4 linked regions of the Sus scrofa genome follow. The protein of the gene in region 1 interacts with the protein of each later gene in a biochemical or structural test. Links are inferred from orthologs where the notes say so. Each region holds a gene or a part of one and is shown in the gene's direction. Other genes may lie near its edges.

The links.
Region 2: of the proteins of ARF1 (region 1) and AGAP1, one has a biochemical effect on the other in vitro, tested with the Homo sapiens proteins (2 studies listed by BioGRID, with this or other methods). The link is inferred for Sus scrofa from reciprocal best matches to the Homo sapiens genes ARF1 and AGAP1.
Region 3: the proteins of ARF1 (region 1) and CYTH2 are reported together in a solved structure, tested with the Homo sapiens proteins (3 studies listed by BioGRID and IntAct, with this or other methods). The link is inferred for Sus scrofa from reciprocal best matches to the Homo sapiens genes ARF1 and CYTH2.
Region 4: the proteins of ARF1 (region 1) and PLD2 form a complex in vitro, tested with the Homo sapiens proteins (2 studies listed by BioGRID). The link is inferred for Sus scrofa from reciprocal best matches to the Homo sapiens genes ARF1 and PLD2.

What each region holds. Positions count from the first base shown.
Region 1 is NC_010444.4:51,233,767-51,238,283, forward strand, and holds ARF1 (ADP-ribosylation factor 1), read left to right. Parts: upstream 1-1,788; 5' UTR 1,789-1,789; coding exon of another isoform or gene 1,790-1,826; coding exon 1,827-1,974; coding exon of another isoform or gene 1,975-2,052; coding exon 2,053-2,163; intron 2,164-2,267; coding exon 2,268-2,392; intron 2,393-2,549; coding exon 2,550-2,711; 3' UTR 2,712-2,745; downstream 2,746-4,517. UniProt on the Homo sapiens protein: Small GTPase involved in protein trafficking between different compartments. Modulates vesicle budding and uncoating within the Golgi complex. In its GTP-bound form, triggers the recruitment of coatomer proteins to the Golgi membrane.
Region 2 is NC_010457.5:135,987,280-135,992,582, forward strand, and holds part of AGAP1 (arf-GAP with GTPase, ANK repeat and PH domain-containing protein 1), read left to right. Parts: intron 1-981; coding exon 982-1,237; intron 1,238-4,479; coding exon 4,480-4,683; 3' UTR 4,684-5,303. UniProt on the Homo sapiens protein: GTPase-activating protein for ARF1 and, to a lesser extent, ARF5. Directly and specifically regulates the adapter protein 3 (AP-3)-dependent trafficking of proteins in the endosomal-lysosomal system.
Region 3 is NC_010448.4:53,875,180-53,880,214, forward strand, and holds the end of CYTH2 (cytohesin-2), read left to right. Parts: coding exon 1-73; exon of another isoform or gene 74-2,529; intron 2,530-2,834; coding exon 2,835-2,911; intron 2,912-3,000; coding exon 3,001-3,072; intron 3,073-3,171; coding exon 3,172-3,326; intron 3,327-3,416; coding exon 3,417-3,504; 3' UTR 3,505-3,677; downstream 3,678-5,035. UniProt on the Homo sapiens protein: Acts as a guanine-nucleotide exchange factor (GEF). Promotes guanine-nucleotide exchange on ARF1, ARF3 and ARF6. Activates ARF factors through replacement of GDP with GTP.
Region 4 is NC_010454.4:52,076,947-52,082,249, reverse strand, and holds part of PLD2 (phospholipase D2), read left to right. Parts: intron 1-1,848; coding exon 1,849-1,932; intron 1,933-2,073; coding exon 2,074-2,152; intron 2,153-2,908; coding exon 2,909-3,019; intron 3,020-3,176; coding exon 3,177-3,347; intron 3,348-3,733; coding exon 3,734-3,860; intron 3,861-4,024; coding exon 4,025-4,143; intron 4,144-4,232; coding exon 4,233-4,346; intron 4,347-4,461; coding exon 4,462-4,566; intron 4,567-4,759; coding exon 4,760-4,848; intron 4,849-4,950; coding exon 4,951-5,064; intron 5,065-5,225; coding exon 5,226-5,275; intron 5,276-5,303.

The sequences.
Region 1 (4,517 bases):
TGAAGCCTGCTGGAAGGGGCTCTACTGGGCACACTTAGACCCACTGGGGTGGTTGTTCTGATCCACTGAATAAACTAGAATGCATGAGTTCATGCCATATCAGTACACAAAGAAGGGAATGGTGGTTCCTTGCAGTAGAATACTAACAGCTTTGAGAATGACTAAATAGAAAATCACCGTTTTGACAGTTTTCATAGCAGTAATTCAGCCAGGAAATGTCAGAGTGCTGAAACTAGAGGGTGGAAGTTGGATGAGGAGCAGGACATGTACATAGTCACCCAGTCCTCACTGATGACTAGGCAAAAAGTATCTTACAGTGGAGACTTGGCAAACTTAAGTGGAGATCTGGCAACTCCACCTGAGCCTGTCATCAGAGGTGACATGGAACAGTGGGGATCTGGGGCACACCCCCCAGGTGGAGTACAGTGGTGCATGCCTGGTTACCCCAGCAACATCCATCCAAAGCCCAAAGACTGGGAGCTCATGGTTACTTCCAGGGATGGGGGATTAGGAATGTAGGGCAAAGCCCCTTCCTAGCCTTGACAGTGGCTTCCATCCACCAACACCCTCTCAGTGATCCACGTGCAAGTAGCTCCCTACCTGCTTGGAACAAGTTCTCTGGTTCATTTGGTTTTCTGTCAACACTCACACAGAGTTCTTTACAGTTGAAAGCTACCACAGTGTGGCTTCACTTAGATGCTAAAAATCCAGATTCCTTAGCTTTCAGCATTTGAACTTTCTCCCTTCTTGTTTGCAACTAAAACTGTTAAAGAGTGAAAGTGCTGAATGTGGAGGGGCCAGGCCTAGGCAGCCTTGGTGCCCTGGGGACATTTCAGGATGGGAGATCTCCTCTTCCCATGAGCAGCACTCTCCCACAAATGACAAATTACGGTCACTTGTGCCTTCCTGCAGATCTGGGTGTCTGGGGCTGGCTGGGCTCTGACCTTGTGTCCTAGCCAGCTTGATGGTATCCCAGTGTTTCTGCTCTACTGGGTAAGGAAAGCCTGGGAGGAACATGTTCTTGTGTGAGCATGTTGCTACACGGAATAGGCCTTCTCTCAAGGATAGCACTGACCATAGCTTTCGGCAAAGTTTCCCCTGACAGGCTCTCCAGGACCGTTGCTGTGAGTTCACCTTTGGACTGCATGCCTTCATGTGCTACCCTAGAGCCCAAGTGTTTTCACCCCCTGGTCCTACCTGCAGGATGTGCTAAGCTCTCAGCATGTTAATAAAGGTTGGCTTTTGGTCTCTGCCATGGGCCCTTCTAGCTCCTTGTGCTTTGGTCATCTTAACATGGACTGTGTTTCACTGAGACTTGGGGCAGTTGGGAGGAATGGTAGGACCTGGCAGTGGTTGTTTCTGGCTCCTTGAAGAGCTCTGTTAGATGGTGGAGAATCTAGCATTCATTTGAAAGCCACACCTCTTCATGCATGTTGGACATTACCTCCCACAGTGGCAGGTTGAAGGTCTTAAAGGTAAGTTGCCCTGTGACCTTGGGCATCATTTCCGGAGATAATGGCAGCAGCTGTTTCAAATTCCGGTCATCCTTATTCTAAGATTCCCATACTCTCCGTTCTAAGGGTAATTTGGGGGCTCAAGAAGCAGGTGGACGGGTTTGTCTTGTTTGGAAACCAGGTTATTTATCGGCTTATGCCTTGAGTTTCCAGGAGAGATAGCAGAGCCTCTGTCTGCCTGTGGGTGAGTGGGTAGGGGTGGTCTCTCAAGCTGCTCCTGTTCTGCTGACCCTGGGCAGCACAGAAAGAGACCCAGGGGCTTCTTGTTTCGACAGGTTTCTCTGGCCAGTGTTGCTCCCACCAGTCTACAGCATGGGGAATATCTTTGCAAACCTCTTCAAGGGCCTTTTTGGCAAGAAAGAAATGCGCATTCTCATGGTGGGTCTAGATGCTGCGGGAAAGACCACCATCCTGTACAAACTGAAGCTGGGTGAAATCGTGACCACCATTCCCACTATAGGTGAGGAGGCCGGGCCTCGGAGGCTAAGGGGTAGCAGTGGCTCTAGGGAGATGCTCACCTTGGGTCTTACTCCTCCAGGCTTCAACGTGGAAACCGTGGAGTACAAGAACATCAGCTTCACCGTGTGGGACGTGGGCGGCCAGGACAAGATCCGGCCACTGTGGCGCCACTACTTCCAGAACACGCAGGGTGAGGGTGGAACCCAGTTGTACCCCTCAAGGAGGGCCATGGCCTGTAGGAGAGGTCGGGGATGTCCTCGGTGCCTACACTAATGCTCACTCCTCCCTTTGCAGGTCTCATCTTTGTGGTAGATAGTAATGACAGAGAGCGTGTGAATGAGGCCCGAGAGGAGCTCATGAGGATGCTGGCAGAAGACGAGCTCAGGGACGCTGTTCTGCTTGTGTTTGCTAACAAACAGGTATGCATGACTGAGCTACCCTGTTGCTGGGTGGTGGGCACATGTCAGGTGGTTGGCCTCTCAGGTCTGAGGGTCTGATGAGGGAGTAACAGGACGGGTGGAAAGGGTTCCATGCAGTTTCCTTGACCCATGCCTATTGTGCTGCCTCTCCCACCAGGACCTTCCCAATGCCATGAATGCAGCCGAGATCACCGACAAGCTGGGCCTACACTCTCTGCGCCACAGGAACTGGTACATTCAGGCCACCTGTGCCACCAGTGGTGATGGGCTCTATGAGGGACTGGACTGGCTGTCCAATCAGCTCCGGAACCAGAAGTGAGCTGTACACCTCTCTCCTCCCCTCTCACTCCCTCTTCTACCCTTGCTTTACTCTCATGTGGCAAACGTGCCCCTGTGGTGTGAGTGCCAGAAGCTGTCTCCATGGTCAGTCACAGTGTGCTTCACCATGCTGTAAATGTGCAGACGCAGCCTGCAACTGGGTTTTTATTTAATGTAAATAGTTTTTGTTTCCAATGAGGCAGTTTCTGGTACTCCTATGCAATATTACTCAGCTTTTTTTATTGTAAAAAGAAAATCAACCCACTGTTTAGTACTGAGAAAGGATTTTAGGCACACGGGTCCTCTAGAAGTCACGTGTCAGACAGGCCCAATCCTCCTCCTCTGGGCTTTAGATCTGTGTTGAGATCCATTTTGGTGGTTGGTTTTTAACCCAAACTCAGTGCATTTTTTAAAAATAGTTACAAATACAAGATAAGGAGAACACTTGAACACACAGAAGGGAGAAATGTGCCTAGTGTAGGTTCTGCAGTAATCACCTGAGTCCAGTCCACTGGTGGTCTGTTTCCCATTGGGAACATGAAATGAAATGGAGCAGAACCAGCCATGATCCATTCTGCATGGTCACAATAGGATCCCTCTGATTGGCTCTGTCTTGGGTCATCCCACACCCCATTGCGTTTTTGCTTGTATTTGTGCTCACATGGCCGCCCAGGAGATGGACTGGAGCTGCAGCCACTGCTCCCAGACCCCTTGGAGGAACCCCAGCCTTTTCTTGAGTCAACATGGGCACCTTGGTTGGAACACTCTGGCTGGAGCGGGAGCCCTGCAGTCCCCTTGCTTGCCTGCTCCGGGCTCTCTGGGGTCTCACCAGCAGGAGCATGGGTGGTCATCCTAGAGCCCCAGCCCCTTGGAGCCCCTGTCTACATGTGCTTTCACGCCCTTAGCCTGCAGGGGTCAGATTTGCCATCGAAAATGATAACCTCTACTTTTTTCTTTTGTATTTTGATAAACACTGAAGAAGCTGGAGCTGTTAAACTTTATCTTGGGGAAAACCTCAGAACTGGTTTATTTGGTGTCGTGGAACCTCTTACTGCTTTCAATACACGATTAGTAATCAACTGTTTTGTATACTTGTTTTCAGTTTTCATTTCGACAAACAAGCACTGTAATTACAGCTATTAGAATAAAATCTCTTAACTATTTCGTGGCTCTCCCATGTTTGGGTGCTCCTGATTGACAGCCTGACTCCTAAGAGGTGGGCAGGGACAGCAGCTTGGTCTTCACCTAGGGAGGCCAGCATTGCCCTGACCTGTTCCATTCCCTTTCTGTCCACTCCTTCCCATCTTCATTTCCCTGTGGCCAGGTGTGGGTATGTCCCAGTGCCCTTGTGGTGACTTCCTCATTGCCTCATTGTTGGCAGTCCAGCCCTTGGTCCCAGTCTTTGCAATGCCAGCTTCTAAGGGACAGCAGGGTCACCACATGGGGTATGCCCAAGAGGCTAGGGCCAGGGGTGGTTTATGGAGGAGGCCCTTCACCCTTCCTAAGTGCCCCCGGCCACATTCCCATGTTGCTACTACAATGATTGTGCCTGGCTAGGTGCTTTGTGCCATAGACCCCCTCCCTCTTGACCTGGAGCCCTTCTTGGCACACTGGGTGGGGCAATTGGCAGGCCAAAGCCCAGGTGTCCTTCCCCCAGGAGGCAGGCCACCTAGATAATAGTCTGACAGGTTGAAAACCAGTTGTCCGTTCTGAAGACAGAATTCCCTCATTTCTTTTAAAATCAGAAATAAGAATCTCATAATAATGACTCCAGCCTGGGTTTTGTCTTTATTCTATTGTGTCTATA
Region 2 (5,303 bases), on another chromosome or scaffold:
CTCTCCTTCCCACCTGCCTGCTCCTCGATCCCCCAGCCCCCTTTCCAGATGTCTTTGGCAGCCTCCTGTCCTCTTTGGGCCCCAGAGGGGGGTCCTGGGCTGTGCTGTTGGAGGTGGGGCCCCAGCTGCCATCCTTACACCGAGGCTTCCCCGCGAATCCAGAGAGATCCCAGAATCCAGCAGCGTCACAGGCTTCGCTTGTTTGTCTTTTCCAAACTCCACGCTGGAGTCCCTGCCGGTTCCCACGTGGTCGGCAGCGACATTTCCTCCCACGGGGATGTTTATAGACCCTGGAGTTCACGCACACCCCTCCCGGGGGACGAGTTGAGAGCTCAGGCCTCGAGGGCACACCAGGTTGGGGAGCCCGCTGGCTAGCCTGCCCCTGGACTCCCGTCGAATGACCTCGAATCCTGGCTCTCAACTCTCTCAACTGGAGCTGCTCACAGCAGGAGGGACCGCCAGGCCTGTGGCATCTATCCTCAGTGGGCCGGGCCTTCCGGGGCCACTGCTGCACTAAAAGCCAAAGAAGGAGTTCCCAGGTGGCTCAACAGGTTAAGGATCTGGTGTTGTCACTGCTGTGGCATGGATTCAGCCCCTGGCTCAGGAACTTTCATGAAAAACAAAAGAGCTCATGTGAGAGCTGAAAAGCCGATCCATGGTTCTCACATGTTAGGGCATCAGGACACCCCCCGCCAGGGGTTCTGACTCGGGGTGGGGAGGCCCACTGGGACGGGGCCTGAGAATCCGCATCTCGAGCAGGTTCCCAGGTGGTGCTCCGGTGGAACCCACTTACCAGGTTTGAAAACCGCAGGAAAGCCCTTCCCGGGGGGCTTTCTGCTGCCGTGCACACACTTGTCTCCGGCTGTCCCACGTCCCCTGGTCGCCTCCGACCGCACACCACACAGGGCGGTAGCAGGGCAGGGGGTGCAGCCTCGGTTCTGCTGCCCTACAGTGACCTGGCCTGTCTGGTGGCTCTTGCAGGGAAGAGAAGGAGCGGTGGATCCGGGCCAAGTACGAGCAGAAGCTCTTCCTGGCCCCGCTGCCCTGCACGGAGCTGTCCCTGGGCCAGCACCTGCTGCGGGCCACCGCCGACGAGGACCTGCGGACAGTCATCTTGCTGCTGGCGCACGGCTCCCGGGACGAGGTGAACGAGACGTGCGGGGAAGGGGACGGCCGCACGGCGCTGCACCTGGCCTGCCGGAAGGGCAACGTGGTCCTGGCCCAGCTCCTCATCTGGGTAGGTCGCCCGCGCGCCCGGTGGGGCGGGAGTCACGGCGGGCACTTGGCGCTGCTCCCCGGGCATCTTTCTGGGGAGGAGAGGTTATTGTTGCCCACCTGGAAGTGGGAAGCCCTAGGAAGAGGGAATCGGTGATGTAGGTGTGGGGGCCCCTGCCTTTGGCTCCCCTGTGTGAGAGCAGGTGCAAAGCACCGAGAAAAGGGAGGAATGACGTTGGTGGCACACGCGCTGCTTCTGCGGGCACAGTGGCCGGCTTTGCACGGCATTTGCTAGTGTTTCTGCCACGTTCATTTTTGTGATGATCCCTTCAGCCAAAGCGTGGTTGGTGGTGTCCCTCTTGTTCCTTTTACGAAATACTCCCATCACCTTTGGGGGGCGGGGAGAGGATATGAACTGAATGATTTTGTATCGTTTCCCTTTCCCATTCCCAAACCTCGGGGCTTTGCTGTCACACAGCACAAAAATGCTGGACCCCACACTTTGAGGTTTGATGTGGTAGGAGGGTTGTCCAAGGGTTTCTCCTGGACTATCCTGGTTAATTCCACTTGGGGAAAGTTACCTTTTTAAATTTCTTTTTTTTTTTTTTTTTTTTCGTCTTTTGTCTTTTTAGGGCCGCACCTGCAGCATATGGAGGTTCCCAGGCTAGGGGTCGAATCAGAGCTGTTGCTGCCAGCCTATGCCACAGCCACAGCAACGCCAGATCCAAGCCATGTCTTCAACCTACACGACAGCTCATGGCAACGCCGGATCCTTAACCCACTGATCGAGGCCAGGGATCGAACCCACAACCTCATGGTTCCTAGTCGGATTTGTTTCCGCTGCACCACGATGGGAACTCCACCTTTTAAAATTCCTACTGGAGCATTTGCCATGCAGCCTGAAGGGGGAGAAGGAAGGAAGAGAGAGATTGTACTGGCCAGGAGCTGCTTCTGAGAGGCCCGCACACCCTGCCTGGCAGTGCCTGCATGCCTGTGGGGTCCTCTGCCACAGCAGGTCCCTATTCCAAAGGTGGCAGAACGAGTGGGTCCCTGGGTCACTGGATGGGGAGGGAGGTGCGTGCTCACCAGTGGTGGGACACCGTCCAGAGGGGGGGTCACCCACTGGGAGCTCTTCTGTCCCCACCCCCAGGGCAGGGGACGGGTCTGTCCACACAGCTGAGCACAATGCCAGTTTCCACGTACTTTGACCTGACTCTTGGGTTGGGTGGGATGAGAAATGGATGCACAGGTACCCGAATCACTCGTGGTCAGCATCTTGTTAGCAGTTGCACAGGCGTCTGCTGGGGCTGCCCTGACCAAATGCCACAGACGGGGCGGGGGCTTCAACAACAGAAATTTATTTTCTCCCAGTCCTGGAAGCCACTTCCAACATCAAGGTGAGGACAGGGTCTTTTTCCCATGGCCTCTCCCCTCCGCTTGCAGACAGCTGAGCTCTGGCTGCGTCCTCGCGGGGCCGGTCCTCTCTGAGCACACGCACAGAGTCTGGGGTCTCATCTTCTTAAAAGGACCTCGGTGACGTTGGATGAGCGCCCCTCTCATGTGGCCGCAATTAAGCTCATTACCTCTGTAATCCAGGCACGTCCTAAAGGACTGGGCGTTAGGGCTTCAGCAGATGAATTTAGGGAGCACAGTTCCACTGACAAGTCACATGTCATCTTCTCCTCTCACACTGGCCAAGCATTCCTTTAATGCTGTGCTTCTTGAAGACGAGAGATAAGAACTCCGTAAGTTACAGTGGAAGTGGACATCGAGCCACCCTTTTTCTTCCTTTCTTCCTTCTTTTTCAGGTCGTGCCCATGGTACGCAGAAGTTCCCGGGCCAGGGATCAAACCCGAGTCACCGCAATGACCAGAGCCACAGCCGTGACAACGCTGGATTCGTAACCTGCTGCGCCACCAGGGAACTCCCAATCCACCCTTTTCCAAGAGCAAGAAACTTTAAAATGCTTGTGGAGGAGTTCCCTGGTGGCTCAGTGGGTGAAGGATCTGGTGTTGTCATGGCTGTGGCTCAGGTCCCTGCCGTGGTGCTGGTTCGATCCCTGGCCCAGGAATTTCCACCTGCCACAGGTATGGCCAAAGGTAAATAAATAAATTTTTAAAAATAAGAGATAAAAAAGAAAACGTTTGTGTGATTGAACCTAGAAGTTCCCCCTCCGGTCATCACTTTAAGAGCCAGAGATGCTGAAAGAGTCCACATGAGGATAGACAGGTCAGCATGTGGCGCCCACAGACAGAGCACTGAGTGCTGTTGGTCCGGAGGAATACCCTGGTTCTTCTGCGTTGTGCTTTTGCGTAAATTTTAATGATAATGAGAAAATGATCAGTGCACCATGTTCGGTTAAAAAAAAAAAAAAAGATACAAATTGCTTGTGCCGCTCTTATCTCTGTTCTTCATATCTGCATTTAAGTCCAAAGAAAAACCGCTAGACGGAAACACACTGAAACGTGAGCCCAGATTATCTCTGAAGAGCCAGCGTGTAGCTGATTGTTTCTTCTTGTGCTTTTGTGTGTTACCTTGGTGTTTCACCCAGTGCAAATGAACCGCCTCCGAGATCCGTTTTTTTGTGTTTACAGCTGGCAGGTCACCATGGACTAGCAGTATGGTGACAAGGGACAGCTAGATTTATCATGGCGATCATTTTGAAATGTGTAGAAATATCAAATCACTGTGCCGTGTACCAGGAATTAACGTAGTGTCCTAGATCAATTATACTTTAAGAACGAGCAGGGAGTTCCCGCTGTGGCTCAGGGGAAACCATTCTATCCATAAGGACGCAGGTTCAATCCCTGGCCTCGCTCCCTGGTCGCGGGTCCGGCGTTGCCCGTGAGCTGTGCTGTAGGCGGGCAGCTGCAGCTCGGATCAGACCCCTAGCCTGGGAACCTCCATGTGCCGCGGGTGAGGCCCTAAAAAGACCAAAACAGCAATCGATCAAAATAAAACAAGCACCAAACGTGTAGAAAAGGAGGTCACAGGTCGACGGGGGTTAGGGGGAGGGACTTAGAGGAAGAGAGTCCAAAAATTTAAAAAACAAAATAGAAATAGCACAACCGGAGTTCTCCCGGGTGCGTGTCTGTTGCACAGGGGAGGGGCTTTTCGGCGCAAGAAGCGCACATTCTTCCCGTAAAGGACACCCCCGGGGCCAGGCCGTGCGGCCGCCCCTGGCCCCTGGTCTCCCCAGCGGGCTCCCGGCTAGCCCGGCCCTCGTGCGCCCGGTGACCCTCACGTGGCCGTGTCTCTCCGCAGTACGGGGTGGACGTGATGGCCCGCGACGCGCACGGGAACACGGCGCTGGCCTACGCGCGGCAGGCCTCCAGCCAGGAGTGCATCGACGTCCTGCTGCAGTACGGCTGCCCCGACGAACGCTTCGTGCTCATGGCCACCCCCAACCTGTCCAGGAAGAACAACAACCGGGGCAACAGCGGCGGGAGGGTCCCCACCATCATCTGAGGACCCGCGGCCTCCCCCCCGCCCCCCGCGGCCTCGGGAGTCACCGCACGTGAGTCCCGACGCGTCCCCTGGCTCCTCCCGGCGGACCCCCGCCACCCCCCCACCCCCACCCCCCACCCCCAGCGACATCACAAACCCCGGACGCTCCTGGGGGGCGCGGAGGCGGAGGCGGAGGCCCCGAGGCAGCAGCATGGATTCCTTTGCATAAACTCCCCTGCCGGACAGACAGGAGCGGCCGGCGGGCCTGGGTTCGTTGATTGCAGCACACGGCGCCGGACCCCGGTCCCTCCGGTGACCGGGAGACGGAGCAGGGCACAAGGGACTCGGGGACGAGGGGGGGAGGGGAGGGGAGGCGAGCAGCCGGGAGAAGGGGCAACTCCCCTTAACTGGCAGTTAAGCACATCAGTACATTGCACCTCTACCGAACGGAACACTGGGATTCCATCTCTTCTCCAAGGAGCTTGACGGCATAAATCAGAAGCAAGCAGAGTTTGTCAGGTTTGAAGCCCCTATGATGGTATGTGTCAAATCAGTTGTAGCTAATTTGTCCAGGGAGAGTACTGGCTTCATTACTCTCGTGTAGTCGAGTTCTTCCAGCATCACCGCCGTTTAATAGAACA
Region 3 (5,035 bases), on another chromosome or scaffold:
CCCGAGGACGACGGCAACGACCTGACTCACACCTTCTTCAACCCGGACCGGGAGGGCTGGCTCCTCAAGCTGGGTACGTCCCCTCCTGACTCTGCCTCTGCAGGGCGGGAGGCTGCTGGGCCCCGGGCTCTGGACTCAGCTTTCGCACCTGCCCACTGTGTGACCTTAGGCCAGTGATTTGACCTCTCTGAACCTCCAGTCTCCACACCCAAAAAGACGATCAGGCCTGCCGGGCACACGTTCAGGGCCCACTAACCCCTTCTGGCTGCCCGCCTATCCTTCAGGAAGCCCTCCCCTAGGCCAGGCCCTGTTCCAGCCCTGAGGGCACAGTCGAGATGCCAGCAGCATGGTCCCCCTCTGGAGGAGGGTTCGCTCACGATGCTCTCAGGGAGCAGAAAACAACCCAAGGGGCCAAGGCACCCAGGCGCCTCTTGGCTCACTTGGCGGGGAATCAGGTTCCAGGCTAGACCCACTGGGAGACCATCGAGTCTGCCCTCACCGTCTGCTGCCTCCTCATCAGCCCAGCAGCAAGGTGGCTGCTCCAGAGGTAGTGTACCTGCCCAGAACACGGCCCAGGAGTTGTCACCTTAGCTCAGCAGAAACAAATCTGACTGGTATCCATGAGGTTGCGTGTTTGATCCCTGACCTTGCTCAGTGGGTTAAGGATCCAGTGTTGCCATGAGCTGTGTGTGTAGGTCACAGACGAGGCTCAGATCTGGTGTTGCCGTGGCTGTGGTGTAGGCTGGCAGCTACACCTCCGATTAGATCCCTAGCTTGGGAACCTCCATATGCTGCAGGTTCGGCCTTAAGAAAAAAAAAAAAAAAAAAAAAGGCAGAACATTACCCACAGGAGGCAGAAAAGAGCCTGCAGAGGGAGGAAACCTGGGCAGCCTGCCCCCTGGACCTCTCAGCTGGCTGGATTGGTTCCTGGTGGGAAGGGGACTGCCCTGGCTGGCTCAGATGAACCCAGAACACCAGAATGGGGCAGATGGGGCGGGGGTCCATCCACCTTTAGAGAACGGGGCATCAGCAAGTTCAAGGTCACTTAGCAGAGGTCCTGTAGGTGCAGTTGTCTGAGGATTGGAGTGACTCTTAACCCTCGGCTGCCTGGAGATTCCCCCTGGGAGCTCTGAAAACCGCAGTAACCAGGTCACAGACCCGTGAAGTCAGGCTTCTGTGCAGGACAGGCCATCCGTCATGTCCAAAGCTCCCCAGGGGTTCCAGTGCTGGCCAAGGTTGAGAGCTGCTGGCTCGGAGCTGTGTCTGGTAATAGTTGGTCCCGCTGGGTTTTTAATAGGGAAGCGGAGAACAGCTGTTTCAGGGAGGCAGAGACTCTGGTGAGGAATTACCATCCAGTGCAGGCAGTGGAGACTGTGAGCCTGGACAGTGAGGGGGTGGAGCGGGGGGGGGGAGCAGAGGAAGCTTCCAGCCCCAAGCAGGGGATCAAAGCAGGGCTTTGCTCCCTTCAGGTCTCACCACCCACCCCTTTCAGCACCCTCTTCCCCCCAGCTGTGCTCTCAGATTGAGGAATCCCTTCTCTGGCAACGGGGGCATAAAGAATGCCAGTCACTCTTCCCAGGCCCCATGCTGGCTGATGATCTATCTGCATCAGCTCCAGAGAGGCTCACGGGTCCGAGGGGTCTGGGGCCAGTTTCGATTCTTCAAGGAAGGCCAAGTGGCGCCCCTGGTGGCGAGGGGGTGGAAAGAAAAGCAGGAGGGGCTGGTTCCCCTCCAGACCGCTCCTGTCAGCAGGAATCCTTCCCATTTCTTAGATGAGGAAATCGCAGCTCGGCCACTGTCCAGCGGCCCGCAGGGCAGAGGTGGCCTTAGATCCAGATCTCTGGCCAGGTCATCACAAGGTCATTAAAAAAAAAAAAAGCACCTCTTAAAACACTGAAATAGGAAAGGGACTCGGTGGTGGTGGTCATACCCACAAAGACGGTTAGTCAAAGTCGTTATTGCTGCTGTTTAATCCTTTGGGGACCACACGGAGCCCAGAAGCAGGTCACTTTGAAGCAGGAAGGTATGGCCTGGAGTGTGTCTCCACATTGGAGTCCAGAGAGGGCAAGTAGCTGTCCTAAGGTCACACAGCTGGTTTGTACTCCCCTGAATGTGAGTCCCCCACACCCACCCTGACCCAAGGACTGGGGAGTTTTGTCTTCAGCTTTGTGGGGATGACCTCCGGGTCGAGACCTCTTCACCTTGGCAGTGGAGGACCCCCCCCTTGGCCTCGGATGCATCCTGGGGATTAAGCCGATTGGCCTCAGTGCGGCTCCGGATCCTTGGCCTTCCTGGGAGGGAGGGGTCCGGCAGGGGTCCCCCCTCATGTGGATGTAACTGGTTTTCTTCCCTCTCTCTCCCTCCCTCCCTGCCTCCCTCCCTGCCTGTCTCTCTGCTGTTCCTGTCTCTCTCTGGGCCACCCCCTGCGCACCCCTTCCCTCGCCCACCCTGCGGCTCGCGGGGCACCCCCTTCCTCCGCCTTCCCTTCTCGCCTGGTCCTGCCTGCTTTCTCGCTGTCTGCCCCAGGAGGTAGGTACAAGGCCTGTCCCCGGCAGGACACAAGGGGAGGGGGCTGCCCATGTGAGGGGGGCTGGAGGCTCGGACTCCCGGGCCCCGGGTGGACGGACAGCCTTAGAGAGTGTAGAGGCCCACGCTGGGAGTGGGCCGGTTCCCCGGGGTCCCCCAACACGACACGCCTGTCCCTGCTTGTCTGTCTTCCCACGCTCTGTCCTAGGCCACCTTCCCGCTCGGCTCTGTCTCTCCCGCCCTCCCCGCCCTCCCAGAGGCCCCGTCCCCCCGTTGAGCCCAGGCCCCCTCCCCCCCTTCCCTTCCAGGGGGCCGGGTGAAGACGTGGAAGCGCCGCTGGTTTATCCTCACTGACAACTGCCTCTACTACTTTGAATACACTACGGTGAGGGCGGGGCCGGGGGCGGGGCCGGGGCGGGGCTTCCGGGGAGGCTCGGGAGGGAGGTCTGAGTCTGCTCACCCTCGTTGGGTCAGGACAAAGAGCCCCGAGGCATCATCCCGCTGGAGAATCTGAGCATCCGCGAAGTGGACGACCCCCGGAAACCAGTAAGACCCTCCCTGTCCCCGTCCCGCCGCCGCGGGGGAGCACCTCAGGCCCCAGGGCCGGCTCTTCCCCGCTGCCCTGCCTCTCCCGTGTCTCCCCAGAACTGCTTCGAGCTGTACATCCCCAACAACAAGGGGCAGCTAATCAAAGCCTGCAAGACGGAGGCAGATGGCCGGGTGGTCGAGGGCAACCACATGGTGTACCGGATCTCTGCCCCCACGCAGGAGGAGAAGGACGAGTGGATCAAGTCCATCCAGTGAGCCTGGGCCCCCAGAGACCTTGGGAGGGTTGGGGGGCTGCGCCCCGACGCCTCAGCCCTCACCCTGGGATCCCGCCCCTTCCCCAGGGCCGCCGTGAGCGTGGACCCCTTCTATGAGATGTTGGCAGCAAGGAAGAAGCGGATTTCTGTCAAGAAGAAGCAGGAGCAGCCCTGACCCCCTGCCCCCAACTCCATTATTTATTACGGAGCTGCCCCGCCCGGGTGGCCGGACCCCTGGGCCCCGGGGCTGCGGATCCTGGTTCCCCGTTTGGAAGATCCATCATCTCTAGCTCCTCTCTCGTTATTTGTAATTAACACGCCATTGGTAATATTAATTATTTAACCACTCGTGGCCTGCGGACCACCTCATTTCTCGGGGTTGATGGGGCTAAGGTGCTTGGCGGAGCTGGCCCGGCAGCTTTCATCTGTGCCCGGGGCCAGGAACGCTGATGGTTCGGTGGCTCTCACAGCAGGTGGGGAGAGGGTGCTGTGTAGCCCCACGGGGCCTCTCCAACCCCAGGATGGCTGGGTTTTGGTTGCGCGCTTAGCCTGCGGAGGTGGAGCGAAGACAGAAGTTGAACGTGGCTGGAGTGAGCGTGGAGTTAGAACCGCTGGGTGCTGAGCCCGCAGGTACGCTGGGCCGGGCGGGGGGACGAGGTCTGACGCTCATTCTCGGTGGCTCTTCAGAGCAAGGAGCCAGGCCGATGCGGTCCCACTGCTGCTCTCGCGGGCTTGTGGTCTTTGAGGAACGACGCGTGGTATCTGGTGGGCTGGGCTCGTGCTTTGGGGGAAACCAGAGCTGGAGGATTTCCAAAGAGGAGCTGCTCTGGGAGGTTGTGGGGAGGGTGAATCTGGAAAAAAGAAGAGAGAAGGCCTGGGGATTGGGGAAGGCTTGCTCGGAGGGCTGGGCAGGCGGTCAGCGGTGTCAGAAAGGGGTTGGGGCCAGTACAGACGTGGCAGGACTTTGGGGCCAGAAGGGCAGGGCTCTAGGCCAGTTGAACCCCATTTCTCAGGCACTAGAGGACCCTCCTTCGGAGGCCATTTTACAGCGGGCAGGGAGAGCGCTGAGAACCTGCGTTTTTCTACCATCTCCTTTCCCAGGAATCTGACAGCCTCCAGAAGTGTGAGGACTGCCTCCTTGGAGGGTAGGGTCCCCTGAGCCCCAGGTCCAGGCCTGTCCCCCGTTGCCTTCCAGTTTGGGGTATGCATGGTATCCCCAAAGAACAAAAGCACATGATCTTGAGAGGGGTGTTGGGAGACCCTGCGTCTCCCTCCTTCGTCCAGGTCTGCAGGTGAGGAGGCTTTGGTACAAGAAACCACAACTCCAGGCAGGCCCTGGACCAAGAAGCTGCTGGAAGGGAAGCTGTGGCGCCAGGGCATCCAGAACTGCAGTTACTCCCCGTGCTCTGTCCTCTGTTCCTGAGGGGTCGAACCCCTACTGTCAAGTGCTCCCAGTGGGGTGTGGAGGATCCCGAAAGGCCTGGATCTTAGCCTTGCCTCCTGGCCACAGACATCCGGGGCAAAGGCCCCTTAGCGCTGTAACAACACTGCCACCCTTGAAGGTGGGGTCTCCCACCCCTAGATTGCTGGACTACAATTCCCAGCAAGCTATGTGGTGCTGGCCGCCTCACTGTCAGGAGAGCCATTCTGAAGACCTCCTGGGAGATGTAGTTTCTCAGGACTCCGCTGTCAGGTTTTCCTTAGCC
Region 4 (5,303 bases), on another chromosome or scaffold:
CTTAATGAATCCTCACAACAACCCCAAGAGGAGGTACAGTTGTTATCACCCCTCTACAGATGAGAAAACTGAGGAGTCCTGTTGTGGCTTAGAGGGTTAAGAACTTGCCTGGTATCCAGGAGAACACAGGTTTGATCCCTGGCGTGGCTAAGTGGGCTGAGGATCCAGTGTTGTCAGGAACTGTGGTGTAGGTCACAAACTCGGGATGGATCTGGCTTTGTGGCGGTGTGGCTGTGGCCAGCAGCTGCAGCTCTGATTTGCCCCCTAGCCTGGGAACCTCCATATGCCATGGGTGCAGCCCTAAAAAGACAAAAGAGAAAAGAAAAAGAAAATATCGCTTATGTGGGTAATCTTAAAAAAGGACACAAGGAACCTCTTCGCAGAACAGATACTGACTCACGGACTTTGAAAAACTTATGGTTTCCAAATGAGACGGGTGGGGAGGGGGTGGGGGGGATGGAAATGCTATAAAATTGGATTGTGATGATCGCTGTACAACTATAAATGTAATCAAATTCATTGAGTTGGGAGTTCCCTTTGTGGCTCAGCGGTTAACAAATCTGACTAGGATCCATGAGGACTTGCTCAGTGGGTTAAGGATCAGGCATTGCCAAGGCTGTGGTGTAGCCCGGCGGCTACAACTCTGATTGGACCCCTAGCCTGGGATCTTCCATATGCCACGAGAGCAGCCCTAAAAAGCAAGAAAAAAAAATTCATTGAGTTAAAAAAATTTTTTAAAGAAAACTGAGCCAAGGGGGAGTTAAGTTAAGGTCACACACATTGTAACAGTGGAACCAGGATTAAAATCCAGACAATCTGGGTAAAGACCCTGCTCTTAACCAGCGTATGGGATTGTTAGTTCTTAAAAGTCAAACAATACAGAAACACATTAAGTGGAAAATTAAAATTCATTCCACAAGCCTTTACCCCCCCAGCAGTTACTTCTTCCCTACACCCCCTCCCAACAATCCCATTTCTCCCCAAAAGTAATCCTGGCAATAGTTTGATATTTGTTCTCTGAGATCTTCACTTGCATATTTCCGCATGCTCATGCATGCATGTTAGTTTTTGTTTTAACATAAATGAGATCATGTACTCTCTTCTGTTTTATTTTTTTCACTTAATGCATGTGTTAGAGATTAGGTATTTACATTATTTCTCACTTTCTCTCTTATAAATGATGCTGCACTGAACACAGTTTTTCTAAGTGTTTAATAGAATGTCTTCCTAGATATAGAATTACTAAGTACATTTAATGGTATTGGGGGCATGTGCATTTAATAGTCTGATAGGTAGTGCCAAATTGTTCTCTCAAAAGGGTATAAAACCAAAGTATAGTCTCACAGTCTGTGAGAGTGCTCACTTCCTCATATGCTAATATTGAATGTTAGCTGCAGTTTGAAATTTTGGAAATCTAGTGAATTTTAAAAGTGTTGTTTTATTTTAATATCAATTTCCTTGTTTGGTGATGAAATTGAACATCTTTTCCTATGATTGGCTATTTTAATTTCCCTGTGAACCGTCAGTTCTTATTCTTTGTCCAGTTGGCTTATATGTCTTTTCATTGTTGTTTTCTTGGAACTCTTTATATATGATGTATTAATTCTCCCAATCTTCAGTCATTTTCTTTAGTGTATTGTATCTGTTGTGATTTGTAATTTTATATTTAGCTCATACTGGCAAATCTATCCCACTTTGATAGATCTGATACCGTCTGACACCTCTCTGATCACTCTTGGTCTTTGACCCTGCTGTCACCTCTGACCCATGACTGTCCTCCGGTCTTCGCTCTCCAGAGCTTTCTGGCTTCTGACTCCTCTGACCTCCTTGGCTTGGCCTCCCCCCCAGGTTTGTGAATGGGGCAGGTTACTTTGCTGCTGTGGCTGATGCCATCCTGCGAGCTCAAGAAGAGATTTTCATCACAGACTGGTGGTGAGTGGGGGGAAAGCCCGAGCAAGCCGGGGTAGGATAGGGCCGGTGACAGATCCGCTCATGGGTCCGAAAAAGAGGGAAGGGGAGGAGTGACTATTGTTGGGAGCTTAGCTTGCCCTCACCCCCTGCCCTGAATCCCAGGTTGAGTCCTGAGATTTACCTGAAGCGTCCAGCCCATTCTGATGACTGGAGACTGGACATTATGCTCAAGAAGAAGGCGGTGAGGAGAGTGGTCAGGTTGGAGGGAAGGTGTGGTGAGGGGCTGCCTGTGGGTGGAGACTGATCAGAGGGGGTTGCACATGGGGAAGGTAGGGAATCTGAAACTTGAGGAGGCGGAAATGTGCCCATCCTGGCTCAGTGTCTGGCAGACACCATCTCTTCCTCTTCCCTAAGAGCAACTGACACCTCCCTGTTCTTGCCCCTCCTCTACCTGGTATAGACTTCCCTCCTGGTACCCAAACATCTATTGTGTTACCTGGGGGGGTACATGTCTGTCTCTCTCCCTGGGCTGATGGATATCACTAGCTCCAATCCAAGGCACAGTATGTCTGCTATGTTGCAGGCATCCATAGATGTTGACGGATGGGAGGAAGGATTCGCAGGTGATGGAGAGAGGATGGAAAGGGAGAGAGATGGAAGGATAAGAGGTTGGGACGGTGGATCAATAGCAGAGTAGGTGGCTAGATGGATGAATGATAGACGGTAGATAAGGGAGGAGTAAATTGTTGGGAAGATGGATGAAAATCATTCTAGGTAGCTGGGTGGATAGGTGGATGGACGAGTGGGTAAGCCGATGGATGGTATTCCATCGAAGTTGGCTGTAAGCATGACAGCAGGCTGTAAGGGGCAGGGCACTGAGGATCCCCAGGCGCCGTGGAAGAACATACAGGAATCCTGAGGGTGGGGAAGGGTTTGGGAGGGTGGACACCAGTCATTCCGAGAGGCATCAGGATCTGATTCCCTCACTGACCACCAGGAGGAGGGTGTCCAGGTATCCGTACTGCTGTTCAAGGAAGTGGAGTTGGCCTTGGGCATCAACAGTGGCTATAGCAAGAGGGCTCTGATGCTGCTGCACCCCAACATAAAGGTGACTCATGGCCCTCAGAGACCCCTCCCCTACAGCCCCCCCCGTCACACTTCCCCTCCCCTCAGTCTGCCCCTTCCCTGGATGGCTCATCCTTCCACTCTTCCTTCGCACACACCTCCTCTGCCTTCTTCCACCCCACCACCCATACCTGGTCTAGGTGATGCGCCACCCAGACCAGGTGACATTGTGGGCCCATCATGAGAAGCTCCTGGTGGTGGACCAAGTAGTGGCCTTCTTGGGGGGGCTGGACCTCGCCTATGGCCGCTGGGATGACCTACACTACAGACTGACCGACCTTGGGGACTCCTCGGAGTCAACTGCTCCCAAGGTAACCCCTCCAAGGCCTTCCTGGGCTCCCCCAGTCCCAGCTAACCCTAAACCTACACCCCACCCCTTCCTGGCTTCAGCCTTTCCCCTCAATCATTCCAAGCCCACTCTCAGGGTTCCTTGGCCTTTCTGGGACCCCCAAGCACCTGCTTTGCAGATACTATGACCCAGTCCCCTCCCCATTTCCAGCCACCCCCCCCCCCGTTCCTCTAGGGACTTCAAATGCAGCTGAAGGGGAGGGCCCGGGAATCAAAGCCTCTGCTTCCTTCTTACTCGCTGTGTCTCTCTGTCTCCCAGTCTTCCAGTGCTCCTTTCTTCTCTCTGGCCTGGCTCTGCATGGCCCCATGACTTCTCCCTGCCCTGGGCTTGGGTGTGTTCCCCCTACAGCCTCCCACCTCGAGCTCAGACTCTGCAGACACCCCAGACCTCTCCCATAACCAACTCTTCTGGCTGGGCAAGGACTACAGCAATCTTATCACTAAGGACTGGGTGCAGCTGGATCGGCCTTTTGAAGGTAGGGGTCCCTCTCCAAAGCCCCCGAGGGCTGGGACTGAGGATGGGCTGAGCTGGGTCCAGGGTAATGCAGCCTCCCCTCTGGTGAGCACCTCCTCCTCCCTGCCCCGAGTGTCCCCAAGAGACCATCCCTGGCCCCTCTGCTGACTCTCCCGGGACCCTCAGATTTCATTGACAGGGAGACCACACCCCGGATGCCATGGCGGGACGTCGGAGTGGTAGTCCATGGTCCACCTGCCCGGGACCTTGCCCGGCACTTTATCCAGCGCTGGAATTTCACCAAGGTGCTGGCTCCCTCCTGTGGGGGCGGAGGTTGGGAGGGAGCCAAAGGTAGCTTGTCACCTCCGCTGACCCTGCCATCCCTCCGCTGCAGACTACAAAGGCCAAGTACAAGACACCCATGTACCCCTACCTGCTGCCCAAGTCTATCAGCACCGCAAACCAGCTCCCTTTCGTGCTGCCGGGAGGGCAGTGCGCCACCGTGCAGGTGAGGCTCCGACTTCAGCCCGCTGCCCCAGCCCCCTCTCCCTGACCCGAGAGCCCCCCCGCAGAGCCCTCCTCTCCCGGGGTCACCCACCACGTCGTATTCCCCGTCCCCGCAGGTCTTGCGGTCGGTGGACCGCTGGTCAGCGGGCACTTTGGAGGCCTCCATCCTCAATGGCTACCTGCACACCATCAGGGAGAGCCAGCACTTCCTCTACATTGAGGTCTGACGGGGTGAGGGTGGGGCCGAGAACAGAGGGGACGTCCCAGGAGGGAGACTTAGACTGTCGGTGGGACCAGTCCTTGAGGAAGCCTGGGGCCGGGGGCCTGCAGCCTAGGCGTGGGAAAGGCAGCGGGGAGCGGAGGGCAGGCGCCAGGACCAGACTGCTGAGGTTCTCCCTTGGGTTCCTGCCCCAGAATCAGTTCTTCATTAGCTGCTCAGATGGGCGGACGGTTCTGAACAAGGTGGGCGATGAGATTGTGGACCGAATCCTAAAGGCGCACAAGTAAGGTGGAGCCTGGGGGTGGGCGTGGCCTACCCTGACAGGAGGGGTGGAGCTTGCGGGGAGGCGGGCACGGATCACAACTCTGACTCCACCCCTCCCCAGGCAGGGGCAGTGCTTCCGCGTCTACGTGCTTTTGCCCCTGCTCCCAGGGTTTGAGGGCGACATCTCCACAGGTGGTGGTAACTCCATCCAGGCCATTCTGCACTTTACCTACAGGTGACCCCCGCATCCCGCCACACGCCGCCCTCCACAGTCCCATCCTACTTGTGCCCCTATCCTGGCTCCCCTCCTGCTGGACTTTCGAGGTCCACCTTTCCCCTTAAAGCCCCCATCCGCTCCCCCAGTCTCGACCTCCGTCACCTATTCTTTTCCCTCAGGACCCTGTGTCGTGGGGAGTATTCAGTCCTCCATCGCCTCAAAGCAGCTAGTGAGTGCTGGGGGTTGGGGGTTCAAGG